Linked DNA regions of Drosophila melanogaster. The protein of the gene in region 4 interacts with the protein of the main gene of each other region in a pairwise test. Each region holds a gene or a part of one and is shown on either strand. Other genes may lie near its edges.

Region 1 (8,139 bases), 3.7 Mb from region 4:
CATGGGCTTGGCTTTTCGCTGAATCTTCATCTTGAACTGGACTGATTTCTTCTTCACACTGCTTCTCATCTGCTGGCACCTTTGGATTGTTTTTAACACTAGATAAATTATGATTTATTTGGTCTGAGCTCGTGCTAGCTGAATTGTCATTTACCTCGATTCCTGGGACTCCGTATCGATCCTCCATCAGGCTGTGATCGATAGCCATCGCCTGCTCGTCCTCCTCCTCAAAATCTAACTTGGCTTTCTTCACTTCAATTGGCTTTTGGATGCTTGGTCTTTTGGTGCGTTGCACTAGATTAATTTTAGCTTTTTTGGATCTGATAGGTGCCCTTTTCACAGGAGGATTGACCTCCTTTAAGGGCTCTGGATCTGACGCTGTCTTGACCTCTTCCAAAGGCACTTGTGATTTTTCGTCACATTTTTTTGGCAAAGTTGTGATAACAGTTGTTTCATCGTTGGCCTCTTGAATTGAGGTCTCGGTTACCGAAGATTTCACATTTTGCAATTCGCTTGCAGTGGTATTATCTACTGGGTTTGGGAAGTTATTGTGTATATTAGTGTCCTCCAGAGCTGAGTCTCCCACTTGTAAGTCCACCAATGGTGTACTCAATGATGTTACACTGCTTTGCATTTTTACTGCGTTCGGGCTAATCCTCAGTACATTTGTACTGTCGCTGCTTATATCCAAAGTAGCATGCAATATATTCATATCGTCCATTTTAACAATCTTTCCGATGGGTAGCTCCTCCTCCTCGGGTTGCGTAACCGATGAACTAGCAAACGAACATCCTCCAAATCCAAATAGAGCACTCAATCTTTGCTCTTCCGGTGAAAGATCCATAAAGCTGCTTTCATCGAGCGGATTTTCAGCGGTCAATTGAGCTATGAAATCTACAGCGGATTGGATTTTATGCTCTGGTGATGTGGCCGCAGAAGAACTCGATTGTTCTTGACTCACTGCTGATGTGTCCGCTTGAGAATGCATATCACCTATTTCTGTGTTCGGTTCCCTATTCAATTTGGATATTAAAGGAACAGATTGAACCAAGTCGGCGTTCATATCTTTAGGTATGTTTTCTGGTTCAGGCAAATCAACCAGGTTCGATTCTGTGGTAACCTCAGCAGTTAAATGCCCTCTTTCCGAAGTTATAGGAATATATACAGGAGTACTTGATCCAAGTGCATTCACCTCTGGATAATTGATTGGTTCATTAAAGGACTTAAGAGGGCTTGACTCGGTAGTCGGATCAGGAGTTGAGGGAATATATACAGGAAAATCAATTGGGTTAGCAACTGCCATAACTCCTTCCGTTTCTAAATTGGAAACTAATTCTAGTTCCACGGAATTAGAAGTGGCCTGATTTGGTTCAGACGAATAACGATTTCCAGGTGTTGTAGGCACTGATGTGGGAAAGTCTATTGCCTTGTCTTCAGTAGACTCATTCGATTCAATAATTGTTTGTTTTGTTGATTCTACAGGTAATGGATTTGAACGAATACTTGAGCCAGCTGAAAAGTCTGTTGCTTTATTTGGCTTTGGATTATACAAAGGAGCAATATTTCCTTTCAGAGTTGGTGATGAAAAGGGCGACGTTCGTTTTGGTTGAAGTATTGTGTTAATAGTGAAATGAGTATCCATTGTGGAAATAACATCCTTTGAATTAAGTGTTTTCATAGCTTGAGGTTGTTTCACCTGATCCGCCTGATTACGAATCTCTTTGGCCATCTCGGCCAGTTTTTCCCGTGAAACCTTAAACTTATTGGCGTTCATAATAACCTTGCCCTTGATCACTTTAGATTGGATATTTGGTGTTGCAGCGCTATCCGGAGAATTTGTAGCTTCCACCGGAGCATTGGGCAGCCGAAGCCCACTCAAATCGATTTTCTCGTTGGGTGCCAACACCTTATGCTCCAGCACAATTAGCGGCGGTGTTGGACTCCTATGAAGTTGTGTGGGAACCGTAGGAGCTGCTCGAGCTATAGGAACCTCTGGAGGTGGATATGGTTGGCTAAAAACATTCGTAGTTTGCTGTACTGGAATCCTCTGTGGACTTGGGGAAACTTGATGCACTGTCCCGTGCGGGTTCACTAAGGGACTGTCACTCGATACGCACATGGCTCGATGTTTGGGCAGCTGATTTACCAAATTGAGCAAAAGTGGCGGCTGCTTTTGTCGGACAGTCAAGTCCGCCTTGGCAATGGACATGGAAGAGGCTGCCGGAGCTGGGGAAATCCCGCCACTGCGAGGAGCTGTTTCGTGGCAAACAGGTGGTGGCATCTTAGGCGCTGCTTTGGAAGTTGTGGGCTTCTGCTGAGCCTGCGTGTTCGTGATTAAGCTCTTGTTTAGTATTCTGTTCTTTAATAGCGCCTTCACTTGTTTGGAACGGTCACCATCCGTTGGATTTGGAGTCGGCTGGATGGGCACTATCTTCTCGATGTGTTCCGAGATCATAAAACGCTTTACTAGAGGCTGAGGTGCTAAAAATTATAAAAGTGAAACATAATTAATAAAGGAAACTATAAGCAGAAGAACTTAGGAGCAAAGTTAAAGGAGCACAGTTTTAAAGCGAAATAAGCCATCTTATACATAAAAGATGCAATTCATTGTTAAAGCAAACATTAAATAAAACCATATAGAGCATGTATTAGCAAAAACAATCGCACACACAAACGGCAGTTTGACCGCAATGGGATTTGAACCCGGGCCAAAAAGGGAATTATGTTGCCTCGCATCGACGCTTCGTCCCTAACCTCATTTTGAGCGCGCACTTGACGATTGAACCACCGAAAGAGTACGAATTGTTGTGGCACGAGTGGGTCTTGAATCTAGTTTGCCAGACGAGTAGTCAAAAAAAATATTTACCCTTTCAAGGGTATCATATTTATGAATTAAGCTCATTATCCCTATTTTACAATTAAGTGTAAAATTTTATTTGCTTTTGACCAATTAAATTTTCATAATTTATGGCTTTACGTAGTTAGTACTCTATCACACAACAACAAAAATTAAATGATTATTGATTAAACTCATTATTCAATTGTTAAAATTTAAAAAAAAGTTTTCGTTAAAAACTTTTTGTGTTACATTTAACAACAACGACAAAAATATTGAAGTGTTCTAGTATTAGCAGTATATTTCATCTCATTTCAAAGAAAAGTACCAACTAATCTAAATGTCCCGAATTAATTTTTTTTTGGTTTTTTAAATTTATTTATTAAAAGAATATTAAAATATACATAAAATATCCTTGTAAAACATGTGATTCTCTTGGCTTATTAAAATATCGATCGTTTTAAATAATTAAATACCAAATTATGTTATTCAATATAAATTTTATTGGCAGTATGTTTTGGAAATAATAACGTCCTGTTTGACAAGTGAACATATTGTAGATGTTCAGATACAGATACAGATGGTTAGCCATCCTAATATTTCTAACCTATAGACCTGAATTTTTAACAAAAATAGACTTTTTTAAACTAAAAAAAATTATTTTAGGTTGCCATTCGAAATACGTAAAAAATAAAATATATCGAGATACACGAAAAGAAAGTGAAGGCGCCGCACTCACTGCGAGACGAACTCAGAACAATTAATACAAAAACTAACTCTTTGACAATCTGTCGGCGTCTCAATCAGTTGCACCATCGTTTTGGTTTTCGGTACTGTGCCCAAAACTCGTAGAAGCATTTAGACGATTTTCGTATCACTTGGTACAAAACCCCTGGGTTTGTAACGGTTTTTTGGGCGATGCACAGCTTAAAGCAAATATATATATATACAAGTATGCATTACCAGGCTGACGCAATTGTTGTTGTGGCGACTGCAATTTGCTCTCTGGCGCAGTTGGCGTCGACTGCGCTGCGGCAGAGGTGGAAAGACTGGTGGACGATGGGGCGTCCACCCTCTTGGCATCCAGCTTCTGCTTCCTAAGCACCTCGGCCAGCTGCCTATCGAGTCCAGCCTCCTTGAGCTTGTTGAAATCCAGCTGAATCTTCTTAATTATTCGCTTGGGCGGAGCTGCAGCAGTTTTGGTGGCGTGTGGAGGAGGGGCGCTGGTGGGATTACCGGGCTTCGGTTGATTAGAAGTGGTGGTCATTGGCGCCGGTGGACCCATGATGACCTGTTTGCTGGAGTTGTCCATTTCGCGGTTACTTTAAAAATCGCATAAGACACTGGCACTGTTTATTCCACGAAAATGACGACAGAAATCGAAATTCTTAAACACTCGTTGCTTCGATTTTTCTCAAGTCCGACGTAATCCACGCAGTGACATTTAAATAAAACACGCTTTTCGAGGCCTAGTACTTGTCACCAACACTAGTTTACTTTAGTTTAGATCGCTGTCTAGACATTTTTCACTTTTTAAATTCTAAAAAAGATCAAGCATGTGCAGCTCGAATTAATAGTGTGACCGCTTTGAAAAAGTAAAATATTCTCAAAGCTTCGGAACGAAAATATACCAAAATATTATATGTAATTCTTTAAAAAAACATCGCAAAAGGAATATATAAGTTATTTTATGTATATTACAGTTTGCAAAAATTTGACTATCATTAAGAATTTTAATGGATTTATGAAACATTCTATTATTTATTTAATACTTTAATCCTGCACACGAACTATCGATTGACTCTGATAAACTACCACCCCTAACCGAATTGGCGTTTCTTGACAACCCTGTTCTGTACAACAAATTTTCATGAAATTTTACCAACGCAAAACGTTTTTCCTTCGTGCGGTTGAAAACTAAAATAAAGTTTACAAAATGGACTTCCAAAACCGCGCCGGCGGCAAGACCGGCAGCGGAGGCGTAGCCTCCTGGTCGGAGACGAACCGCGACCGCAAGGAGCGACTGCGTCAACTGGCCCTGGAGACAATCGATCTGAACAAGGATCCGTACTTCATGAAGAACCATCTGGGCTCCTACGAGTGCAAACTCTGCCTGACGCTGCACAACAACGAGGGCAGCTATTTGGCCCACACGCAGGGCAAGAAGCATCAGGATAATCTGGCAAGAAGAGCCGCCAAGGAGGCAAAGGAGGCACCCTCTTCGCTGCTGGCGCCCGAGAAGCCCCGCGTGGAACCGAAGAAGTTCGTCAAGATTGGACGACCCGGCTACCGGGTGACCAAGCAGCGTGAACTCAGCAACGGCCAGCAGTCGTTGCTCTTTCAGGTGGACTACCCGGAAATCACGGAGTCCATTGTTCCGCGTCACCGCTTCATGTCCGCCTACGAGCAAAAGATCGAGCCGCCAGACCGCAAGTGGCAGTACCTTCTCTTTGCCGCCGAGCCGTACGAGACCATAGGGTTCAAGGTGCCGTCCCGCGAAGTGGAGAAGAGTGAGGGCAAGTTCTGGACGCACTGGAACCGTGACACCAAGCAGTTCTTCCTTCAGTTCGCCTTCAAGTTCGAACCTAAGATCCTGCCGCCACCGCCGCCGAATCTACATAGGGCACTAGGCCCCCCAGGCGGATTCCCCATGCCGGGACCGCCACGTCCTGCTATGCATCCCATGTTCAATGGCGTTCATCCACCGCCACCCATGCTTTCAAACAACTAATTCATCGACAATGTTTACGGGATTTCTCCAAACGCAAGCCGATTACCACAGAAATATTCAAATAATAAACAATTTTCTACTTAATACAACTCGAGGGTTTTTGTATTTGTGTTTCTAGCTTAATAAATTGAAAAAATATTGCTGGTTTTCTTTGTAGCTGTACGACTTACAAATCGATCGCGTTTAAGGTAATTATCTTGGATTCTATAATTTCTGCTTAAATTAGGTAATGTACAACTTATTAATACACACTTGGCTGGCCATCTCCGTTCGTCAATTACTTTTAGATCTTTTCGCGCTTCTTGAAATTCCTTTTCGAAGCGCAGCGGGTGATTATATTAGAAACGTGTGGCTTATGCTCGAAGATCTTCATTAACTGATTCTGTGCCTCGTTGATGCCATCGGTAATAATCTTGCTGCGTTGAATGTTTCCCTGCAAAGTAAATTGGTTTTATGTTGAGATTCAAGCATAATGGATATAAGTATAAGAGCGCACCTTTAGCAGTTCAGTGACTCGCTCAATTTCGCTGTGCTTCTCCTTGTCCTTTTCGAGATCCTGCAGCATGGTCTCCAGCCTGCCCAGACTAAAGACTTCCGATTCATTCTGTAAGAAATCAGTTCAGTCAAAGTAGCCTACCAATACTTTCGTGCCCATTGCTTACCAAGTCCTCCATTTGCGAGCGTAAATGATAAATTTTCCATCCATTGATTTTGCCCTGCACATTTGGCTGATTGGCCAGATCAATGACTGTGGCCCGCCGCTCCTCCCTTGGCTTAACATCAGTGTACCGATGAAAATGATTGTTGGCCAACTTATGTGTGGGCTTATACGTCTGTAGATCAACGGAATCATTTGTTAACTACCACAAAATGAACTGAACCTTCAACTTACATTGAGCAAAGCACAATTGCGCGGACGACGAATCACAAAGTCGACGGGATTTGCGTTCTCCTTGTTGCCCGCCACAGCAGGTGTACTGTTCCGGTGGTTGGCATCGCCTGGCGCACTGTTGGGAGCAACACCCGGGGTCGCTGCTGTCACCAGTAGTCCTCCATTGTTGTGCTTCTGCATGTACGAAGCGCCAGCCGGCGGCGTTGGCTCCGAACTTGGAGGTGGCAGCGATAAGGATGCTTGACTCTGCGTAGAGTGCTGGCTGTCATTGCTGGCAAATACATTATCAGATTATCAACATGCATCATTTGATACAACCACTCAAATAACTCACGTCGATCGTCGCGGCTTTTTCCTAGAGGAGCAGTCATAACTGGAGCTGGAGCTATTACCAGTACCATTCATACGCGTTCCTTGTTGCATCTGCGTCGATCCCACCAAATGAGGCACCTGCTGAGGCTGCTGTTGCTGCGGCGTTGGTGCTTGCACATCCACAAAGGCACTGCTACCACTGCGGGCTCCCAGTGAGGAGTGACCAAGGTTCTGCTGAATCGATTGGTGTGATGAGTACATCTTTTGAAGAACAAATATTAAAGCCATACTTAAGCATATATTGATTGTTGTGTACACACCTCATTAATGGGATTAAAATGCGTGGAATTATCGCGCCCACCAGCGCCTCCCGTGGCTGGCTGATCGCCAATCCTGTCCTGTAATTGCTGATCCACACCAGGTGAGGAATTCGCCGACACTGTAGTTGAGCCGTCCGACGAAGCCGGCGAGTCCGCCCTCGAATTTCTCGTTGAGTTCACGGGGCCAACTGTGGCAGGCACACTAGCGGCGCTACTTGCTACACCATGGGTGACTCGCTCCCGTTCCTTCTTGGCCAGCGCCTCTACGGTCAGCCCAGAGCCAACTGATTGAGGCACTGTCACGGACACCGGCTGAATGTTGAACGTGGTGCCCGGAGCCGGTGGCATGTTTTGTCCACTGTTATTGCTAGCCATTGAAAGCAAAGTGGGTCCTAGATTTTTAGCCGCCCGTATTGGCGAACCTTCCGCATCCCGCTTGCGCATAAAGCTGGACACCAGTGCTCCACTTGCAGTTGCTTGTTGCGGATTGCCCGCTCCCGTGGTCACCTTAACGGACGTATGCAGCGGAATAACCATGTGCTGCGGCGGCGCACTATTTGGTCCTGCTGGTATTATCAATTGCTGGTGGCCAATGGTTCGGGTGGCTGTTCCACCAGCCCCCGACGGCAACACCGTAAAAGTAGCCTGCGATCCGCCGCCACCTGATCCCGCTCCGGCAGTCGCGTGACTTGCAAAGGGTAACGAAGATACCGACAAGCTGCCACCGGCGCTGCTAACCAATTGTGCCTGCGCCTGGGTGCTCTGCGTCACTGTTGTCGTAGTCAATGATAGAACGCCTGTGGAGGCGGAGGCTGGCATAGATTCGTAGTAGATTGTGGCAGCACTTCCCTTCTCATCGATCTGTATAACGATTTAGTTTTAATAGTTAATTGAAGCATCATATATGTAGATAGTTGAAACCTACCTTCATCAACTGGCTCTGTGAAGCAACTACAGGATTCCAGGTGCGTTGAAAGCCCGTCACTGTTGCCCCGCTTGTGCTGGAACCATCTGCTCCAGGGGCAGAAGAAGCTGGTGCCATCATCAT
Region 2 (6,804 bases), on a different chromosome or scaffold from region 4:
CAGCTACAACAAGCCCAACAAGCGTCTGAATTCCGACGATGCCTGGTATGTGGAGTCTATCCAGACCAACGGTGGCACTCTGGGATTCCTGAAGCCCATCGGCAAGGGAGCTTTCTATCCCAACGGAGGAAAGACCCAGCCCGGCTGCCCTCTGGATGTGACTGGAGCCTGCTCCCACGGACGCTCAACAACCTACTACGCCGAGGCCGTCTCCGAGGACAACTTCGGAACCATGAAGTGCGGAGACTACGAGGAAGCCGTTGCCAAGGAGTGCGGAAGCACCTACTCCAGCGTTCGCATGGGAGCTGATACCAACGCCTACATGGTCGAGGGTGACTTCTATGTGCCCGTGAACAGCAAGGCTCCCTTCGGCATGATTAACTAATTGCTGTGCAATAAAAACGATGCTTAAAAAATATTCGAATTCTTTTAAAGTTTTCAAATCTAAAAGGGGCTGCCAAAAAATATGATATTTTATTCATAGGAATGGTTTCTTACGACTCTTTTGCTCTTTACCAAGATCAAATATGTTTATACATAATCCAGCATAAATAAATACCCTGATAATAAAGGTCTCATATAATTTACATAATCCATTTCTTTATTCTCACAGTCATAGCCAATCTTTGCCATTTTCACCGAAAGCATTTTCACACTTTGTTTGACATATTTGTAATTATAATTAATGAGCGAACTGCAAATGCAATTTCTCCAGCGGAAAAGTCAACTGCCACATTTATTTGCACAATATGATAGTGGAAGGCACCACCCACGTGAGGCATGACGCACAAATATTTGAATAACAAACTGGCTGCCGTAGGTGGTCTGTGTGTCCTTGTGGCCCAATTAGCTCTCGAGCATTTCAAGTATTTAACAACAAGTATGTGCACCGGGTGGATTGAAGATTGAAGTTTCACGCTTTCTACTTCAGATTCGCACAGTTAATCGTCAGATAGGATATTTTTGGAGCGAGCTCTTGAGCCCCAACAGTCTGATAAGGGAAAGAGACCAACAATGTATTCCACCATCGGTCATTTTATATATGAGCGGGATAGTTTGTTTATTTTACAGTGCCTAAGTTATACTTCTGACTCATTTTAATTATCAAGTTTAGTAGGGATTTGTTTCCTAGAATCCCCTTAAAACAGGACGAGTAGTAGTAGTATTTAACTGTGGTTAACATAACCACAAGAAAAAGCAAATATTAGTCGCCCGAATGTTAAACAAGGATATTTGCAAGCTGTTTGTGTTTAATTTGCTTAATCAAACGCCAAAATGTGAGACAGTTTCACGTGAAATACCATACTCTTCGATTGGCTATTAATTCAAAATGCTCACTGAATCTGTCTATAATGAACTATAATTAAAAGTTGTGGAGGTCTGCGGTTTCTGTTCATGTTCATATTCACGTTATTAATTGGATTAATTTCTCAATAAGCGATGATTAAGAGAAAACGCCAATTTAAAAAGAGCCTGAAATTATGCCTACATTTTTGAACAAATTTCAAGGTTGTAACTTCCGGTTAGGCGGCTGCATTGTGATATTACACTTCCTGTTTACTGCTGAAACAGAAGATGATTTGGACTTAAAAATACTTTTGCTTGTTATTTTCCGGATTTTAATGCCCCAGCTTTACACCTTCGTTAAGTAAGATTACAAACCACCAGCTGACCAAGATAACACAAGTCGAGCAAAACAAAAATGCACTGGAGTGTTAAATTAAATGCCCATTTAATGATACCTACAATTACGTCCACTTAACCCGACTTACAGAAGATTAAGTTGGCTGAGGACGCCAACCATTGTAATCGATAGCTGATAGTGAAGGCAACTGTTTGCCACCATTCATGACTCGTGTCTCGATTGGAATTTACTGGCAACACATACAAATTTCCATACTCGTTAACATCCAACAATCGAAGAATCAGTTCGCAAATCGTTCACGAATGGCGCAATTGAAAAGCCAATCAGCCGATAAAAGAGCCATCAGATTTGGAGTTCTTAAAAAAAAAAAAAACAATGGCAGTATGACCGGCAATCAGAACGGCAATTCAAATGACCTAAACCTCCCAGGCAGCCAAAGTACGGCCAACCGATTTAATCACTCCGTGATAAGTTGGCCCACTGGGGACGTATAAAAGCTATGGGTTTCGGACTGAACTACCATCAGTTGTGGGCTCCGCTACGTTATGAAGACATTCCTGATTTTGGCATTCTTTGCTCTGGCCGGTAAGAATTTAAGAATTTCCATTTTTAAAGAATACTGTCTAACATGTAACACATCCTTTCAGCCTCGGCTATTCCGATCAAGGAATCTGAGCGCGTCCATGGGGAGAACGGCTGGTACGTTCCCCAGGAGGATGGCACTTCCGAGTGGGTGGACATGGACGTTGCCGAACAGTGGATGGAAGCCCAAGAGTTGCTGGAAAGTCGTGGCTTGACCACCGTTCCCGTAAAGTTCTACCTTTACACCTCCTCCAACCCCACCAAGGGCAAGAAGATCACCGCCTCCACCAAGTCCATTGATGCCTCCAGCTTTAACTCCGCCCATCCAACTCGCTTTGTGATCCACGGCTGGACCCAGAGCTACACCGCCAGCATGAACAAGGACATCCGCAGTGCCTGGCTCTCCAGAGGAGACTACAACGTGATCGTCGTCGACTGGGCCCGTGCTCGTTCCGTGGATTACGCGACTTCTGTTTTGGCTGTCGCTGCCACCGGAAAGAAGGTTGCCAAGATGATCAACTTCCTGAAGGACAACCACGGTCTGAATTTGAACGATTTGTACGTGATTGGTCACAGCCTGGGCGCCCATGTGGCTGGATATGCCGGCAAGAACACCGACGGCCAGGTGCACACCATCATTGGTCTGGACCCCGCCCTGCCCCTCTTCAGCTACAACAAGCCCAACAAGCGTCTGAATTCCGACGATGCCTGGTATGTGGAGTCCATCCAGACCAATGGTGGCACTCTGGGATTCCTGAAGCCCATCGGCAAGGGAGCTTTCTACCCCAACGGAGGAAAGACCCAGCCCGGATGCGGATTGGACCTGACTGGCGCCTGCTCCCACGGACGCTCTACAACCTACTACGCCGAGGCCGTCTCCGAGGACAACTTCGGAACCATGAAGTGCGGAGACTACGAGGAAGCCGTTTCCAAGGAATGCGGAAGCACCTACTCCAGCGTTCGCATGGGAGCTGATACCAATGCCTACATGGTCGAGGGTGACTACTATGTGCCCGTAAACAGCAAGGCTCCCTTCGGCATGATTAACTAATAGAAACTCAATAAACTTCAAAAAACTGTAACTCTCCGTTTTATTACTAATAGGCAATATTTGGTTTTTATGGGCATTACAAAACTGTGTTTTCCTCTGCGAAATCCCTTTGATTTCCACTTGATATCTGGCTTTTTCGAACATAAAAAGGCGACGAAAAATGACTTGTTTTCTTCAATGAACTTGCTTGTCGAATCTAGCCGCCCATAAACCATAAGATTGCTAGCCAACCACTTCCGTTTATTAACATTTATGGTTACACTTGACCGTTATATGGCTTACCTTGAGATCGTTAGTCATTAGTTAGTTAATTGTAACAATGGTTTCATGGTTAAAATAAACAAACGAATTAAGGAACTTTAATCAACTTTTACAAGATTCGATTTAAAGAATAAAGGAAAAAGAAAAGTTATAAAAGTACAAGACTTTTAATTCGTGTAATTTATAATATGCAAATAATATTAAAATAATATCAAGGTTAGTGTTGTGACCCTGGACCTTATCTTTGTGTTGATGCAACTTGAAAAGCTCTACTGTATTAGGTTTTTCCCTTATCAACTTCGTTGGAGAAAACGCTATCAAAGTACAACGTTCTAATCGTTTGTATCGGCCCTATCTTATTATTCAGAAGCTGTCAAAGCCTCAAGTGCTTACTGATATTTAATGGTGATTACGGTTATTATTTCAGGCCTATATAAAGCGTGAAATGAATGCTTTCTCCACCACAATAATTTGAGACCCCCAACATGAAGGTGTTTTTTGTTCTTGCCGCCTTACTGGCAGCCGGTAAGTTTTCATCCATATTGGCAATAGACGCAAGTAATTGATAAGCTATTTCTATTAGTGAGTGCCCTGCCCATTGAGGAGCGCGTCAATGGAGAGAATGGCTGGTTCATCCCCAAGCTTGATGGAAGCTTCGAGTGGATGGACATGCAGGATGCCGAGGATCTTCTGGCCAACGGAGCCCAGATGGAGGGCCGCATCAGCACCAACGCCGTGAACTTCTATGTCTACACCAAGTCGAACCCCACCGATGGCAAGGAGATCAAGGCCAAGTCCGGCTCCGTCGAGGATTCCCACTTCAACAAGGATCATGGCACCCGCTTCGTCATCCACGGCTGGACCCAGAGGTACTCCGACGACATGAACACCCGCATCACCAAGGCCTGGTTGTCCAAGGGCGACTACAACGTGATCGTCGTTGACTGGGCCCGTGCCCGATCCGTGGACTACGCCTCTTCCGTTCTGGCTGTTCCTGGAGCCGGTGGCAAGGTTGGTGAGATGATCAAGTACCTGCACGACCACCACGGCTTGGACTACGATAGCTTGGAGGTGATCGGACACAGCCTGGGAGCCCATGTTGCTGGATACGCCGGAAAGACCGTCGGAGACAAGCGCGTTCACACCATTGTGGGTCTGGATCCTGCCCTCCCCCTCTTCAGCTACGATAAGCCCGCTAAGCGTCTATCCACCGATGATGCCCACTACGTAGAGTCCATCCAGACCAACGGCGGCAAACTGGGATTCCTGAAGCCCATCGGCAAGGGAGCCTTCTACCCCAATGGAGGCAAGAGCCAGCCCGGATGCGGACTGGACGCCACCGGATCCTGCTCTCACGCACGCTCCGTTCTCTACTACGCCGAGGCCGTCACCGAGGACAACTTTGGATCCATTAAGTGCCATGACTACGAGGATGCCGTTGCCAAGAACTGCGGAAGCACCTACTCCAGCGTTCGCATGGGAGCAATTACCAACGCCTACATGGTCGAGGGTGACTTCTATGTCCCCGTGAACAGCGAGGCACCCTTCGGCAAGATTGAGTAGAACCATGTTCTCTGAATAAAATACATTACTGAATACTCAAAAAATTATAGTCTTTCTTTCATTCAATTAGGCCTTCTATTGAAAAATATGAACATTTGTATTTCAATTATTAATTGACTTAATTTGACTTGTATTTATGATTTGCTCTTTGAGTCGTATTTCGCCAGCCCCTAAATTATACTTAGCAACCCCCATCGATTTTGGAGGACCTACCACCGTTCAAAAAGTACTCATACCTGAAGTACACTGGGATTTTCGAAGCACTCGAAATCAATCGAGAATATCTTGATCTGACTGGCAATAGATTAAATACATGACATAGATTACAAATATTTGTGTAGCTTTTGTGTGCTTTCCTATGCGGGTAAATGTCGTCATATTGGGGATTAAATATACAATCATTAAAAACGAATAAATAGCCCTCAAATGATAAGATTATCTTACAATACTATCCTGATCTTATATGTGGTGCTGCTTTTTGATAACTTACAGCCTATAAAAGCTGTGGTAAATTGGCTTAGTGCGTTAGATTCTGCGAAGATATCAATATGAGAGTGTTCATAGCTCTAGCGGCTTTGTTGGCAACAGGTGAGTTATAGAGCGTATTATTGCGATTTAGTGGTAACATTTCTTGGTTTCTAGTAAGTGCTCTTCCCATTGAGGAACGTGTCAATGGTGAAAATGGTTGGTATGTGCCTCAGATAGACGGCAGTTTCGAGTGGATGGACAAACAGGATGCCGAGGAGCTCTTAAATAGAAATTCACTCATCGAAACACGTTCCAATGACGTGTCCTTTTACCTGTACACCAAACATAACCCAACCGTGGGAAAGGAAATCAGGGCTGATGCTTCATCAATCGAAGACTCTCATTTCGATAAGAACCAGGGTACTCGTTTCGTAATCCACGGGTGGAATGGTCGCTACACTGATGGCATGAACGTCAAGATCACCCGAGCCTGGCTTTCGAAGGGAGACTACAACGTGATCGTTGTTAACTGGGATCGTGCCCAGTCCGTGGACTATATCTCATCGGTGCGAGCTGTTCCTGGAGCTGGAGCCAAAGTGGGAGAAATGATTGAATATCTGCATGAACACCATCATTTGTCCATGGAGAGCCTGGAAGTAATCGGACACAGTTTGGGTGCCCATGTGGCTGGCTATGCTGGAAAGCAGGTGGGCGGCAAAAGGGTTCACACGATTGTCGGTCTGGATCCTGCCATGCCTCTTTTTGCCTACGATAAGCCTGACAAGCGACTGTCCACCGAAGATGCCTTCTATGTCGAGTCTATTCAGACCAATGGGGGTGAAAAGGGTTTCCTAAAACCCATTGGCAAAGGCACTTTCTATCCGAATGGAGGAAGAAATCAACCAGGTTGCGGTTCAGACATCGGAGGAACCTGCGCCCACGGACGATCCGTAACGTATTACGTGGAGGCAGTCACTGAGGATAACTTTGGAACGATCAAGTGTCACGACTACCAGGCTGCGTTGGCCAACGAGTGCGGAAGCACCTACAGTGGAGTTCGCATGGGAGCTGTTACCAACGCCTACATGGTCGACGGTGACTTCTATGTGCCCGTAAACGGACAGGCCCCCTTCGGAAAGATCGAATAGAGGGGAACTATTATATTGAACATCTTATCAAAATACAAAAAATTAGTACTCCAATAAAATTCAGCTATTTTTTGATTTCGATTTTC
Region 3 (7,910 bases), on a different chromosome or scaffold from region 4:
CCTTGATGCAATATTCTCCAATGATTCTGCAGTTGTCCATTGACCTCTTTTCTTTGTGACAAGAAGGTGATAGTCGTTTTCTTCTATGGATTTCTATTTCTAATAATAATTTCTATTCCCTGGCCTTGAACGTAATCGCTTGATTGGCCTGTTCCGACAGGCGGAGTAGTAGCCGTGCAGGATGAGTGATTGGGGCGGGGTTCTTGCGCACCGGCGATTCGCTTACCTGAGCCACAGCTCCTCCAGGTGCAAACGGATGACGGTCACTATCGATTTCAGCACTGGCAAAAAGGTCGGATTTAGGGGCAGGTGGCACAACTATGGGTGGGAGAACTCACTTGCAAATCAACCAAAAATACAAATATGTAGGTCTGTATGTGTATGTGTATAAACTGTCCAATGGAGCGTCTGCTCGCCAGGAACCCAAAACTAAAACTGAAACTACAACTCAAATTGCAGGTGCTGTCCAAAATGGAATAGCAACAACAACGGCAGCGACGTCGACGTCTATAACAGAATTTGTTTGTTTTGGCCCACTGTTGTCGTTGTTGTTGTTACTGCCGCTGCCGTTGTTGTTTGTGTGCGCAAAGTGCATAGACCGCATCCGCGTCTTAGCCTCCAGCTTGGCCCCAAAGCCAGCGCCCCATCCGATCCCGCCCACGCCCCTCCGGCGACGCGGGTGTGGATTTCGCACTTAATGGGTTGAGTTGGGAATATGGGAAAAGGTTAGTTGGCGACGCAGTGGGCTATCAATTAACAGTTAGTTAACTGCCTCTTCGCCTTGCCTGCAAAGTGTGACCAGAACAGGGATTGAGACGGGAGGTTACGGTCATACTTAATTTCTAATTTAATTCATAATTTGAAATAAAATTGGTTTTATTGTGACGATAAATTTATAGCTTATTTTACGGTTTTTAAAACAGATTAAGTTAAAATTTCAGATTTCAGCTTATAATTATTTCATACATATTTTCTAATTTTTCCGAATTAGTTTGTCCACTAAGAACTTTAAGCACCTAAAATTATTTTTCATCTTTCTGTTATTTGAATTCAAAGCTTAGACAATTTTAACTTGTACGTAAAGTAGTATAATTACACATTTTTGTTTTTTAACTATTATAATCTTATGTTAGTTATAAAAGCGAAGGACCTTACCAGTTACTTCAGGCCTTCTATAATCACAAAAAGTCTTTAAAGAATTTCGCAGCAACTAATATACCCTACGAGAAGTGAAGTTCCCCTTTACAATGCCATTGATCTACTCTAACCACCTCCACCGCATTTGTTATTAAAACCAGCCACCGCAACAAACTAATGACAGATGCTTATCTGCCCAAGCAATCGAAGTCCCAGACAAAGAATTGCGAGACGTTTAGTTTCCCATTATTATCCCCGAAAACGTTGGACTTTGGACCAAGTTGGGGGAGATAGAAACTTTATTCAAAACTAGCCGCCCGTTTTGGGGCAGCGTTATAGGTTGGTATTTTTCGTTGATAAGATTAAACAAACATCGCAATGCGGTCACATCGTCATTGTTGATTTGTGATAGCTGTTAAATAATAATAATTCCGTTTTACGAATTTTGTAAAGATGAGCAAGCAGCCCTCGTTCGTGTCGCGCAACCTGGTGGCCGTCGTGATGATCCCCAGTCTGGTGGGGATCCATCTGGGCTGGAGCTACATGCAGAGCAACCGAAAACTGGTCACGGAGGCGGAACAGATCGAGATGCCGCCGGTCACGGTATGTTAGTCCTAATTCTTAAGGCGATCACCTCAAGACAGCAGCTCCTCTTTTTGTCCAGTTTGCCAGGTTTGTGTGGAACAAGCTAACGGGCGCAGGAAGTTCGACGGAATGACAAACCCTCTGGTGATGAGCTTAAGACATACAATCTATTTATTGTATAGAATAATTAAAACTACATGCAAACTGTATGGTACAATCGGCTGCTGCCCGGGCGACACATGTTGGCCGGGCTGCAGGTTGGGACACAGACAAAATGGAGATATAAAGCCAGAGACTACACATACTTAGTCTAGGGGGACAAGAGAGATTACTGCGTGAGGGCCGAGTGAACGGTGAGGTTGCCCAGCTGTGCGTTGAATAGAACGTCGCTGATCAGTTTCTCGGCCACGATCCGCTGCGTCGGGTTGATGGAGCGCAGTTTGCTCGCCACATTCACGCCAATGGCATCGTACTCGTCGTCTTGCCGGTGCGATGTGCTCGTAGCCGCTGTGGTGGTATAGGCAGTGGTGCCGGCATTGCCAAACAATGGCTGATAGTGATCGCGGCCTATCTGGATGGTGGGAACGCCCTGATGTTGGCCATTCGTCTGCTGCAGGTGGAGCTGCTGCTGGTGGTGCTCCAGATGATTGACCGCCTGCGTGGGGAGAGGAGGTGATTGAAGACCCTAAGGAACTCTTCACTGCTTTGGAGCTACTCACTTGTTGTATCTCGCGCTGGGAGTTGGAGTCTAGGGAGGTGATCTCTAAGACCTTCACGGCATGTCCCTGAGCCGCCGCCGCCGCAATGGAGGTCTGGGCTGCTGCATGGGCTACCATTTGCTGGTGTGCTTGGGCTGCGGCTGCCGCTGCTTCGGCCGCCTGGTGCTCCTCGCTCTTGACAAGGGTCACACATTCCGCGGGCGTCACCGAAATGGTGCTCAGAGTGGCGCCCTGACTGCTGACGACCACATTGTTGGCCGTCGCCGCGACTTCTTCCACATCGTCCGGGGACGTGGGTATTATGGACTCCATGTGCTGAGACTGAGTGCCCGTGTGATGTGAGTCGTCCTCGAACTCCATTGACTCCTCGTCGTCGAAGCTGATATGGAGTTCTCTCTTGGGCTTGGAGCCGAGTTCGTGGCGCTTGGGCTTGTGGTCAGCGATGAAAAGCAGCTTGTCGTAGTACCACAAACGCGTTGCGTAGTCGCCTTTGGTACTCGTCTTGCGGAATTCCCGCCGAAAAGCGGACCGCAGTGAGTTAATTTTCCTGTAAAGCGTGAATTGTGTTTACTGAACTGTGGCACATTTGACATGGAAATTCTCACCTTACTACCATCGCCCTGTCCGGATTGGGCTCCACTTCTTTTAGCTTCTCCACCAGGCGATCGTAGGACTTGTTACGGGCTGTGTGATTGCTGTAGTCGTTGTGCTTGGGCTGCCAGAGGCACTCCTCCTCTTGGTACTGCTCGATAAACTCCGTGAGCCAGTGGCGTGAGTACGAACGCAGGTCTAAGTTCATGGTCCCTTTCACTCGCGTTTTATTTGGGGTTTTCTCAATTAACTTCAGCTTAGTATTTTTTGTTTTCGCTGCGTCTCGCGTGAAGTTGGCTGCGCCACAAACGTCGGGGCGTTGCCAACCCAAACAAATCATCGCGGTCGAGATGGTATCGAGCCTGCATTTTTGAATATAAGGAGCAAAAATTTAAATTAGGCAAATAAAGTAAAACAACTTTAGCCCCTTAAATAAAAAGTGATCGACTTTAACGTTAAATATGACAAAGTGCATACAAATTCTCTAAAACTGAATAGCTATGTGATTCATTATCCGTTTCATTACAATTTTAAGCCAGGAAATAATGATTTACCCTTTGTATTGCATTTATGAGTGATACGGCATATCTATTGCAAGTCAAGAATATATTTTGTTTAATAATATATTTTAATGTTTATTTATGTTTAATATTTTGTTTAAACGAACTTGTATGCCAGTGAATAACACAAATATCTGTAGCACTTGTTGAAATTATTTACAACGTTTTGAAAGGGTGCTTTCTTTTACAATTGACATGACGAAACAATGACATAACGGCTCTGGAACAAATTTTATAAACAATTTTTGACAGCAGTCCTCTCTTAATTTGCACCACTGTGCCACAGTTAGAGGGTTGCGGTCTGGGCTTACCTCCAGCGTGGACTCCACCCACGCCGTCTGGCAGCGCAGTCAGCATGGCAACGCCGAGCGCAGTTCTCGATGTTTTTGTCAATTGCTCTTTGGAGCTTCGCAGGCGGAGTCCGAGAATCGCGCGGAAAATGTGCATTAACAAATAGAAAAATCCGAAATAAAGACAAAGAATTAGCTCGCGGTTAAAGAGAATACAGCACCTGTGTTTTTGGAATCGAAAATCAGTGCGAAACGCCTACCACTGCTGTGTGTTGTTGTTATTGTTGCCAAGGCCGAAGGAGCGAAAAGGGAGGCCGAAAAAAAAGAATCTGTGCTAACAAAAACAAAGGTGCGTGTAGGGCCAAACACACATGAAATCGTACATATGTACGCATATGTATACGTGTGTGTGTTCAAAATAATTTGTTGTTCTCGTTTTGCCCAATTATATAAGGTGTCCGTGTGTGAGTGGTCTTTTTGGGATGTTGCAAGCGTTTAATCGGTGTAAACAAGAGCGAATAAATGGATTGCCAAACAGTTGGTGCACAGTGGCCTTTATCGCAAAGTACTTAAATTTAAGAGAAACAAACAACAACACTTACAAGCAACAGCTGTTTTTCATTCCCCTAGGCGCACTCAGTCCAATCAGAATTAAGTCACGTATGATTCTTATAAATCAAATCCAGTTTTGTAAACAACAAACAAAAGTATTCCGAATTATTGTTCAAGGAAATAAATTGGCTAGAAAATCGCGCATGTGAAAGTGCACTTTCCGAGTAATTTGCATAAATTTCCATTGCCCCATTTGGTTTTTGTTATTTTCCTCCAAGGGGGTACAAAGTCCAGTTGGAATGATGTTGTAGCTGCTTTACTATCTACATCCCGCATCGACCCCCCCCCCCCCTCCAACGGGCTATTTATAGCAAACAAATTTCATAGCCAGAAGCAAAGTGGAAAACACTTGCTGGATAAACTGGATCCGTAGTAAGCCACAACCTTGACTGAGTGCAATAGCAGAGAAAAAAGTGCACAAACACCGCCTAACGAGCTTGTTTACGTTTATCAAGCGCCGGCAACAACAGCATCCCAGTGCACAGTGGTCGAAAAGTGTCGTTCATCGCTCGAATTCCTTATCAAAAAATTTGTTTATGGAGGGGGCACATATCAAGAGGCTGTGCTAAAATCACACTTAAGCCGCAAGCAAAGGCGCGGAATATTTGCTAAACTACTTTTGGCCCAACTTTTCAAGATAGAAGAGCTGAAATCGCTAGGTACAGTGATTACTTGTACCAGAAGGTTGCATTTGAAACGTATCAGCCTATAAAATCAATATAATTTAGTTAATTTCCTTAATCTTAGTAGTTGCTTAGTAGTAGTTAGTCGACTCACTTCTATATAATTTAAAAATAGTAAAATATGCTTACTGCCATCCTTAACCAGTATCCACTGTACAGCTCAGATGCTCACGTTCAAGGTTGCACTTTTCCACTCATTTGCAATCGCATTGATGAACGCTCTCGGTTTTTGCTCCCAAAGATTTCCCGCACCGGCTGCTCAATGAAAAGCGTTTAATTTTAGCCGCGCTCAGCTGTTGAACTTGGAAAAGTGCCCAACCCCCCAAAAAAATCGGTAATCAAAACACACGTGCTGTCATATTCCGCACATTCGGGCGAGCTGAGCTCACATTTTAATATTTCGGCATGATAATTGTTTTGGAGGTGTGTGCCACACATAAACAGGTACATATATATGTATGTACATATATATACACTGGGCACTTACTTATGTACATATGTACATATATCAACTGATAATTCGGTGCCTTTTGCCTTCCATAATGAGCAAACGAAACCAACCGGTTTGCGGGCTTGTTTGCTCTTTGGAGTGCGAGAGAGGCGAGAGCGGGTACATCGATCCGTTCCGATCTCTTCTGGAACACTCCACTTCTATCTAATGTGAGACCCAATTAGCAGCTGGCCAAAGCCTTATCAATTCCGGCTGAGAACCCGAGTAGTTGGCTCGAGAATGACTCGACTTGGGGCCCAAAGCAAAGTTCAATTGCCGGGAGCCAATGGTACTTGGCCAGATAGCTGAATATTGGTCAATATTATGGGTTGGTTGGACGCTAAAAGCCATCCGAGTGCCTATTTTTGAACCTATGCCAAGGGAACGTGCTTCTAACAATTACGAAACAATTGCGAGAGCAATTGAATATTATTTGCATGAACTTGCGAAATGTGTGTTTTCGCTATCAACAGGCGCACATAATATTTTCCTGGGCTCCATAAATACACCTGTCTGTGCAAGAGTAGCACCCAATTTATTTACTCTTCACAATCAATACAATAATAAGAGCAGTACTATTGTTTTTCATTATTGGTCACACATATCAATTATCAGCGAAATCCAAAGCTGTGTTTTTGTCGTTCGTTGGCTGATAAGAAATCCAAACACTTGTCATAAAGTTGCACCTAAACTATTAGCTACTGTGCTTAGAAGAATTCTAGATTAAAATAAAATCATTTACCAATAATTCATGGTACAATAGAAATGCTTTCAGTTTAAACCTAACCTGTTAGTTGGATTTTAGAAGCTTCATTCTCAAAATATTAATATATAAGTTAGTTGTGCTATTATGTTGACCTCAGCTGTACAGCAGCGCCCACTCAGTTTGCTATATGTGTCTCTGCTGGGAAGTCTTATGAAAGCAAAGCAATTTTCGGCTGGTTTAGATTAGTTTTGGCCATATTGAGCTCTTATCAGTGGTGTCGATAAGCCTGCGCTTTTTTGGTGGTCCAATATAGCCGGCTCAGATTGATATGCAAATTGATTTCAGGTCCCCCAGTCCGAGTCTGCGATGAGCCGACTCCTGGAGAAGCCCAACATCGCCATGTCCATCAAGTCCACGGGTAGTCAGCTCTCGAGCACGATGACGACAGCCTCGGCGACGCTGTCCTCGGACCTGGACGATGCGGACACATCCCGCACCCAGCTGAGTCCATCGGAAACATCTGGAGTAGTCCTCGTACCCGCCACTACAGTCACACCCAGTAAGTAAGGCGCAAAAGACAATTCACGAGAGATTTGTTTTCCAGACGCATAGCCAAGGATTTCAAACATTTTGATACTTGAAGGCAGTAAATAAAGCTACAATCTTAATTAACATGTACAAAAATCAAATTCAATGAACTTTCTCGCAATGTGATTTCCAATTCCTAGTAACTACTAAGCATTATAAAATGGACCTATTTAACTATGAGCTTAAATCCAGGACTCATTTTATAGTAGGCACTTCGATTCCACTTGAATGCCAAACATGTCCAAACAAAAATTAGGGAAACGCTAAATTACATTGGCGACACAATGAAAACTCTTGAATTTTTGTGTTTGTCGACAGTAAAATGTCGAGTATTTGACTTCAAACCGAACTAAATTATAGAGCGTAGTGGAGTGTCAAAGTTTCCTATGTCCCTCCGTTTATTTATCCATAGTCGCGCATTCGGGTATGAATGCATATTGAGATTTTCTATTCATTTTCTACCATTTACTATTTCAGTGCGCCAGAAAATCGACCAGGTGGTGATCAGCCTGATATCCGGAGCAGCGGCGGGGGCGCTGGCCAAGACGGTCATCGCCCCGCTGGACCGCACAAAGATCAACTTCCAGATCCGCAACGATGTGCCCTTCTCGTTTCGAGCCTCGCTGCGCTACCTGCAAAACACCTATGCCAACGAGGGCGTTTTGGCCCTGTGGCGGGGGAACTCGGCCACGATGGCCAGAATCGTGCCCTACGCAGCCATACAGTTCACGGCCCACGAGCAGTGGCGTCGCATCCTGCACGTCGACAAGGACGGCACCAAGTGAGTTGTACTATGCTCTAGATTCTCACCAACTTCATGGCGAATCATTCTATTTTGCAGCACGAAAGGTCGTCGGTTTTTGGCTGGCTCCCTGGCGGGAATCACCTCACAGTCGCTGACGTATCCTCTGGACCTGGCACGCGCCCGCATGGCCGTCACGGATCGGTA
Region 4 (8,320 bases):
TATTTTCGGAGTCGGCTGCGTTATTTGTTTTATCGTCGTTCTTCAGCATTAATTTTGCTGGTATAGTTAGATCGTGAAGATCTTCCTCTTTAATGTCTTCCTTGACTATAGTCCTATCTTCCTCGTCAGAGTTAGTGCTGTCTTCATTCAAATTTATTCTTAGTGGGGTGTTTACTATGGTTGGAATTTCTATCTGGAGACTGAATTTATTTTTTATAAATATTAATTTTTCTCTTAATGTCACCAGTAGGTTCAAAGCCTTAGCACACTGTTTGCGTTCCAAATTCTTTCTATTTTGTTGGATCAACTCTCTGATTTCATTATAACTATTTACCAAGACTTGGGCATTCCTATTGATTGTTACAGCTTGTGTTGATCTGTTTTGCGTTAAGCACTTATAGGATTTTCTGAAATTTTCATTTTGATCTTTTATCTGATCAACAAGCTTTTCCCAGTCCATGCTGTGGTATACTCATAACTTCAAATTTATTCATTTGTATATATTTTTTTTTTAATGTAGATAAATTCAATATTACGTTTTATATTTTTTTTTATTTATTATTTTTTTTTTCATATAATTTTTCTCATATTTTCATTCATAATTGACTTTATTAAAGATCTTCCTTAAATATTATCTATACCGTTAGCAGTGCTACGGTATCGTTTCTTAAGACACTTGTTATGCAGTTTGTATATTTTTATTAATGCATTGGATACCATAATTAATGCAATTACAATTAGTATTATGGTTATCCAGAACAAGTCTGCATTTTGGACTTCTACTTTATTTATTACATTGGCTGTAGAGTCCACAGTTTTAGTGTCTATTAGACCCATTTTGGGTATACTAATTTTATATTTTGGAGAATAGAATAGAAAATTTCCTTTGTATATACTTTTATTTTCAGTTTTACTTATTTCATTTGTCTCTATAGACATTTATGTTTGGAATTATCTATTTATAAAATCTTTCAATGTTCGCAAGAGTAAAAAAAAATTGTATTTTACATTGTTGCCTGCCTGATTCTAGCTATGGCTTCACGGGCCATATTGGGTTAACAGGGCATAATAGTATATGCTCCGTTTTACAATATTTCTTACAATTTTTCTTATCTATATATATTTTATATTTACTTTATATTTATATATATTTATTATTATATTCTGCTGTTGATGATGCTCATCAGGTGTCAGCTGGGCGTCGCCGGGGGTGGCACGCTGACACTCCCTCGCTGCTGTCTATTTCTTCGCCGCTGAAGACGTCGATGGTCGCTCACAAGTCCCCAGGCAGTGGGGACTCCAGATTCCTTCGCAGCCAGGGGGGCAGGACTTCTTTGGTTTTGTTAATGCTGGTGCTGGTGCTGGACATGCCTGGTATTTTGGAACTTCATTAATTGTGGGTATATTTTTAATATTATCTGAGTGAGTTTTCTCGAGCTTATGGGTCTTTAATTCTTGCTGATATTGCAACAAGTGGTCTAGCTCTGCATGTAGCTTTAGAGCTTTCGACCAAACCGGTGGCGTTTGCTGACCGTATATTAGCCACCTTACGTGGGCTATACGTTTATTCAGCTTAGTTTTCAAACCGCCACGGTGTTTGCCCATACTCAATAGAACTCTACTCACTCAGATTTTTCCTTGGTTTTTGCAGTTCCATTTAATTAGTCCAGTCTTCTTCCAGTCCAGTGTTCCTTTGTTCCTTTGTTTTCACCAGCTTTGGTCAATTCGTCCAGCGTTGGACGACTGTCACGGTCGCCATGTAATGATGAACTCCAATTAAGAACACAAGTCCGTTTTAAGTTGAAGGCAGCCGTCGGGCTGACATATATTTATTCAATTTCTTCTTTTGATTTTAGAGTAGGCAGAAATGGTTCTGTCAGCTCAACGTCTACAGAGTCTCTCCGATTTTACAGTTTTTTATATATTTGGACTTAGGCTAATCCGCGTAGCTGCGCTGCCGGGTACGCCAGCAGCGGAGCGGCGTTCTTATGTATATCTTATATATCTAGGCTTATCGGGAGAGCGAGATATGTATGTACGTATGTAATATGTATTTGGTCGGCGTGTGAATGCTGACCATGCACTTATACTTTTTGCCTTCGAGTGGGCAATGCACTTATACTTTGTGGCCTTCGAGTGGGTGATCATGTTACATCCGCCCTGGCCTAACTGCGTGCATAAACATAAACATAAACATAGCAACAAAGTGCTGCCATAAGTTAATATGCTATTTTATTTAATTGTTCTTAATATTGCATAGGCACATACTACACAACTCTCAATGAAGGTCTGCTGATTCCAGCACCTGACATACTTGGTGCAATCGAAGGGATGCAGATAGAGTCCCTGTGCTTGTGGAGGACAAGAAAGCGTCGAACGATCCACCATAAACTCAGCTGTAAACGAAAAAGTGGTCTGAAATCAAGTCCAAGTCATCAAGATTCCTTGAGATGCTTACTGGAAAGTTCAGCACTGATATAGGAGTAATCCAAGTAATCATGTGCAGAGAGAAGGCTACGAGGCACACATTGACGCTGGGAGAGGCTGTAAAGCTGTCCAGTGGGACAGCATATGATCTCTAATGCTCCATATTGGCACCTGACATAGTGGCCAGCATGGAATGGATAAGGGTAATTCTTCTGGACATTGGGTGGACACGATCTAAGTGAAGACAGCTGGCTTTGAACATTTCCCCGTAAGTCTTGAGAAGTATAAGTGGTCTGAACTTGGACTTCCTGCCAGAACTGCACCCGATCAGATATGTGCACTTGATGACTTGGAAGACAACTTCTTTGGGATACACTGAATGCCATCTGGGGGCCACAACTTAGGATGGACATTCTGCCACCAGACGAGCACTGAACGTACTTTTTAGCATCGTAGGGATACAAGAAGATGCCGTTGATGTTACCAGGACAGGCATTAAGGATAAGTGCTAGTAAAATATTATCATAAATTCTAGTGTACAGTGATGATAAAGTAACTTACAATACTCATAGCTGATTTCGGAGATAATTAATGTGACATAGTCGGTAAAGGCTAATTGTGCTTTTAACTGACAGTAGCGCCTCGATATGCTAAACACATAATTAGGTTGGCAGTTTTGCACAGCCGATTTACCATCCTTACAACTAAGGAATTTTGTTTGATCAAAGGGATGAACAAATTGGCCAACGGCTCCCACTGGACACAAGAGATAGTTGACCTGAATCTCAGCCGACGTGAAGGAGGAAGCTGTTACAATTCAAAGGGATCAGGATTAGAGTCTATCAACTAAGCAGGCAAGCAAAGCGTGTACAGCGTAATATGAGAAAATAACCCGAAATGAAAAAGCAGATGAATCAAGCGAGGCCAAGCAGTAGGGATAAGAAATGAAATGACACTTACAGGAGGTCCGAGGGGAGTCAGAATACACACATACCGAAGAGGAGCCATCGAAGATGTGGCCCCGTGGACACTGTTCCACCTGAGGCTTAACCCCAATTCCGCACCTCAAATACTTGTGCACGTCGTGCGGATGTGGACGAAGCCCACGTGTACCGGGTGGACAGCCCAAGTCATCAAAAGGCAACGCAGGGTAGCCTAACCGAGTGTTAGTCAAGATTTTTGTATTTAAATCACTCATACGTACCGGTGCCGGAGGTATCATCTCGTACTGCTCCAGTTCCCGATCCGCATTTGGCCAAATCCTTGTGCACACATACCAGTGATGCTGGACTAAAAGCAGTTCCTGGTGCGCAGTCCATAATAAAAGCTTGACCATTGGCGCAGTTAAGAAACTTGCTGCAATCCGAAGGATGCGGTTGCAATCCATTCACTCCCGGTTGACACTTGGGTTCACTATCTAATTGCCTAAGTCTTCCCAGTCGAGTAGATGCAGATTCCGCTGAAGGGCAAACCACATTGCTGGGATGATCGCACACCTGGGTCCTGTCATTGAACAGAGTTCCGGGCGAACACGTCTGAATGGTGGGGCTGCCATCGAAGCAGTTCACATAGCGATGACAGTCGTGGGGATATGCAACCAGACCCGTAAAATGCGGCGGGCATGCCGAATCCCGATGGTAAATAGGCTGCTGCTGGTCGCCTCCGTAACTCGAGTGTGCGTTCCCTGTTGCTGATAAGCCAACTGGTTCCGACTGCTCGCTGTGGTAGCCACTGCCTGATCGATAAGCTTTAGCCCCGGGTCGCTGTCAAAAGCGCAATTATGAAATATTATTGAACAACCGTAAGTAATTAGAGGCAAAATTTAGCTAATAGCTTGTAATTAAGTTCAATTAAAATTAAAGTCTTAAGCGCGTTTTAAATTCCTAAACAACATTTTTAGTTTGACTAAAATCTTAAAAAATTGTAAATAATCTAGAATCTAGATGATATCCTTAAAAAACACAATTTGAAATTATTAATAAACTTTCTACACTAACATCCACTAGCAGGATCGCCAGCCAAAGGCCAAGGAGCCACTTGGCCATCATTTTACGTTTCCGCTTTATAAGTATTTGAATTTAAATATTTCTTAAAATGCACCGATGCTGATAGCAACTACACAATTGTTTTTCTCGCGCTTTAAATTCTTCGTTGTGATCCCGTTCGAATTCCAGGCTCGACTGACCCACACCCAGATCGCATTTCAATTCAATTGGACTCGGGATGAATCTCTATCTCTGCCGCCGCTGATAGATGCTCTCGTTTGTCGCCAAACCAATTGAGTGGACCACACTATCAGGGCTTGTAATCTCAAGACCTTTTTGCTGTCTTATCGCCTTGTTTTGTTTGCATTTCTTTTGGGGTTTTTCACTCATTTATTTACTTCTATGAATCTGAGATGTTGGAGCTTAAGAATGATGATGATGAATTACAGTGGCGCAGTCGCATTTAAACAAACTAAACGTCATACCCAAATTAGACTAGGTGATTATGACTAAGAGACTAGATCATTTGGCTGCCGGCTTATCAGCCGGCGCCCTCTCGGCAAGTCTTAGCCTCTGCTGTATTTTTAGCCAGAGCAGATCGTACGGCTCACTGAGTTCCGTTTGTGTTTTGGGAATTCCCACAGATCGTCGCACTTCCGGCGAGAGGATGAGCAGATTTTGAGCAAGGCCAAAACTGCTGGAAGCTACCCAGTATACACATAAAGCTGAAGGCACTGTACAGGCTACTGGAACCATCACAACACTCAATCCACGGAACACATTGTTGGCGATGTTCTGCAAGCGTGTAGAAGGACGAGTTCTAGACATGGCTTGCACTTCAATGATGGCCAAATTGATAAGACCTAATGCTACAGGCAGGATATAAGAGTTATCCACCACCGTAAGGTTTGGTATCCAACCAAATCCGCCAATGGTCATTTCGGTGGTCACGATTTGAGCTTGAATGGACGTGGGATCCGGCAGCATGTACACTAAATTGCGCAGAGCCACGGATTGAAAGATCCACAGGGGAATCTGACCCCATAGCACAATCATGGTCTTCATGGGATGGCAGTTATCCCGAACTATAAGGTTCTGCCACTGCTTCTTGATCTGTAAGATAATTGACATGACGAAGAGTGTCTCGCAAACATTTGAATTTTAACAAACCGAACGCCGATAAACAATCTGAGTCTGCTTTTCGCTCCACTTGAACTTGTGCTTGGCCATGGCTGCCTCTTTTTTCAGTTCCTCCACAATGGCCGGCATCTCCAGCGCTATCTTTTCAATTCTGGCGGTGATTTTGTGCTGGTAAATGGTCAGAGGCAGGGTGACCACGCTCCGAAAAAGGAAAGTGGACAGCACGATGGACGCCCACCAGGGCAGGCCACTGTAGTCGTGGATCTTAATGAGAACATCCTGCATATAGGCCACCGGCGTGCTGTTGGACAAGGTCTGCCAATATCCCACCAATCCACCGGCATTTGCCAGTTGGACACTCGCGGCCGCCGCTTCTGTAGACGACAGACGATGATTGCATGTGTGATTCGCAATAGTTGTTCCTTGGTATGTGTATTTGTAGATGCCAGCAATTGATGAACTTCTACAGGTGCGTAAAAGAAGCAAAGCTGACATTTTTAATTAATATAAAACTAATAATCAACGTAAACAACTATATAGAATCAGCAGTGCGAGTTGTTATCATTGTGAACAGCTGATTGTTACCATAACACGGCTTCAATCAGTGTGGCCGTAGCTAGGCATTGTAGTTGCATTAACCCTTAACTTACGATGCTTTTTTTGCTATCCGAAATTAGGAAACATTGAAATGCAGTTATTAATTTGAAATCATTTAATCGTTGATAAGAGAACAATAACAAAATTTATACAGTCATTTTATACGACAGCAACACTTTTATTTCCTTTGCATTTTTACTCACTTTGAAATTTCTAAATTAATAATTATCTCGGCTTACTTAAAATGGCTAGACCTAATTTAAGTGCATAAATTGTTTTTTAATTGACGTTTAATTTCATACGTATATGCTTAAGATAAAATTGTGCTTGTATTCATATTTGTTTTCTTGGTCTTGGCATATTTGCGACCTCGTGCGACGGTCACTCTAATTTGGCATTTTAAATTGTGCAGCGTACTCGGCTGCACTTGCAACTTTTCATTGTTTGAAACGCAATTAACATTTAAATCGAGTAATGAATTTTAGCCAACGCCAACCAGAATGGCACAGAATACCATCGGTGGCACTAAATCACATATTCGACTATCTAAATCCCCAGGATCGTCGGTCGGCAGCGGGTGTATGTTTTTCTTGGAGACATGCCTTATTTCAAAAACGGTAAGTTTGTCACTGTGTGGGTGTGTCCGTATCCGTGTGGGTGTAGGTATTTGTGTATGTGGCTGAAATGTTTAATTTCAGTACTTATTGGGTATATTTCCTTTGTTATTGCCCCTTACATTATATAGCCGTGGGTTAATCAAGCGCAAAAAAACATCTGTGCAAGCAAGAACGAATCGTAGACCCCAAAACTTGTTCGACATTTATATGTTGTACTCTTCGCATTTGGCAAGCTTTCAATGTGTGGGGGCAAGCACCTAGGTCCGTTTGTTTATATTAGTGTTGAAAAAAGGGGAAAGTCCACGATAAGAGGAATTCCCCTGCCAATAAATGCAATTAATTAAATTAATTGATGCGATAAGCTGTGAGCTGTAAATTGCGATCTTAGCGATTGCGAGAAAGATACTTATTTTTCTTACCTTTTCTATGCTGATTCATTTATTGTATTTATAGTAATTTTCCTATGTTATTTAAATTAATTATATTGGTCTTTTGGACTAACAAATAGAAAAGAAATAAGCCCAATTTTGTAATTTAGTATTTACATCTATATATAATTAATCATTACCTATTTTTCACCCCTCAGCTATTTTAGAAACTTTCGCTTTCAATTGGATGTGGGATGCGATGATCAGTTGGCCTTCTTCCATCGCTCCATGGCCAACTTGGCCATGGAACTGATAGTAGTCTTCGACTTTCAAAATGCAGTTCACATCCAGAAAATGCGAGGACTTCTATACAAGTAAGTTTGCTTTAGAAAACCCAATGAGGACTCAACCTAACCATTTTCCATCCCACAGAGTGGCGCACTGTGATAACATCCAGAAATTGCGTTTCCAAACCCACAATGTCGGCCTTGTTGCCATCGGAAACATGCATAGCGAGCACTTGTTGGCCATCGAACAGTATGTACCATTAGAAATAAATAAAAAGTTCAATAGTTAGATATCCTGACAATCCCAACAGATGCTTTGTGGAGCCGTTGATTCTGTTTTTAAGCCGCAAGCGTCAGCCCTGCCAGCTTCTGGACCTTGGAGCCATCGAGGCCCTCTCATACTATGGCCATGATTTTCTAAAGGCTATGGGAAAACCACAGGAACTGCTGCAGCTGACACTCGCGAGCATCAAGTACGATCCTAGTCACTATCCCATCCTCTCGTTGGACTCGACCCTGCTGCAGAAATGCGCCGCCCTGCAGGTGCTCTCCCTCGACTACGACACACTTTCTGACGAACTGCTGCACACTATCCAGGTGCTTCCGCTGCGGAAACTTTTGATCGCAGTGCACGGCCTGGATAGCGAAGAGCATCCCGATGTGTCGGAGACGGCCTGGTCCAACTTTTCGGATCACTTTTCGAGCATTGAGTTGGTGCTGACCCTTGTGTATGCCTATGAGGCCATCGCACTACTGCAGCATCGTGTGCTGCGTAGCAATATGCCTGTAACCCATGTGCGACTGCTATTCTGCGAAAAGATGAACGCCGAAGCCTTGGACTGGATGTCGTTGCATTACAGGGAAACTCTGCGCAGCATTCACTATGTGGACGCGCCGTA

What was found.
Region 1: the proteins of teq (region 4) and CG42588 interact in a two-hybrid assay, tested with the Drosophila melanogaster proteins (one large-scale study listed by BioGRID).
Region 2: the proteins of teq (region 4) and CG6283 interact in a two-hybrid assay, tested with the Drosophila melanogaster proteins (one large-scale study listed by BioGRID).
Region 3: the proteins of teq (region 4) and CG5180 interact in a two-hybrid assay, tested with the Drosophila melanogaster proteins (one large-scale study listed by BioGRID).

The regions. Positions count from the first base shown.
Region 1 is NT_037436.4:12,810,541-12,818,679, reverse strand, and holds the start of CG42588 (uncharacterized protein), read right to left. Parts: upstream 4,427-8,139; 5' UTR 4,149-4,426; coding exon 3,800-4,148; intron 2,482-3,799; coding exon 1-2,481. Other genes in the region: Sf3a2 (splicing factor 3a subunit 2), read left to right, coding at 4,773-5,567; Sap130 (Sin3A-associated protein 130), read right to left, coding at 5,851-6,000, 6,064-6,171, 6,230-6,400, 6,460-6,730, 6,794-7,032, 7,092-7,952, 8,017-8,139.
Region 2 is NT_033777.3:27,018,574-27,025,377, reverse strand, and holds CG6283 (uncharacterized protein), read left to right. Parts: upstream 1-3,999; 5' UTR 4,000-4,024; coding exon 4,025-4,064; intron 4,065-4,122; coding exon 4,123-5,102; 3' UTR 5,103-5,140; downstream 5,141-6,804. Other genes in the region: CG6271 (uncharacterized protein), read left to right, coding at 1-385; CG6277 (uncharacterized protein), read left to right, coding at 2,191-2,230, 2,293-3,278; CG17191 (uncharacterized protein), read left to right, coding at 5,651-5,690, 5,745-6,718.
Region 3 is NT_033777.3:20,553,728-20,561,637, reverse strand, and holds CG5180 (uncharacterized protein), read right to left. Parts: upstream 3,709-7,910; 5' UTR 3,587-3,708; intron 3,395-3,586; 5' UTR 3,241-3,394; coding exon 3,047-3,240; intron 2,989-3,046; coding exon 2,442-2,988; intron 2,378-2,441; coding exon 2,051-2,377; 3' UTR 1,878-2,050; downstream 1-1,877. Other genes in the region: CG5191 (uncharacterized protein), read right to left, coding at 227-281, 339-339; CG15922 (uncharacterized protein), read left to right, coding at 1,591-1,740, 1,802-1,855; att-ORFB (uncharacterized protein), read left to right, coding at 7,348-7,385, 7,439-7,742, 7,803-7,910; DPCoAC (dephosphocoenzyme A carrier), read left to right, coding at 6,740-6,932, 7,439-7,742, 7,803-7,910.
Region 4 is NT_037436.4:9,070,934-9,079,253, reverse strand, and holds the start of teq (tequila), read right to left. Parts: upstream 4,612-8,320; 5' UTR 4,476-4,611; coding exon 4,425-4,475; intron 4,191-4,424; coding exon 3,632-4,190; intron 3,583-3,631; coding exon of another isoform or gene 3,388-3,582; intron 3,235-3,387; coding exon of another isoform or gene 2,989-3,234; intron 2,936-2,988; coding exon of another isoform or gene 2,459-2,935; intron 2,397-2,458; coding exon of another isoform or gene 2,233-2,396; exon of another isoform or gene 1,798-2,232; intron 1-1,797. Other genes in the region: CG4942 (uncharacterized protein), read right to left, coding at 4,935-5,525, 5,583-6,047; CG4911 (uncharacterized protein), read left to right, coding at 6,624-6,766, 7,353-7,508, 7,567-7,671, 7,733-8,320.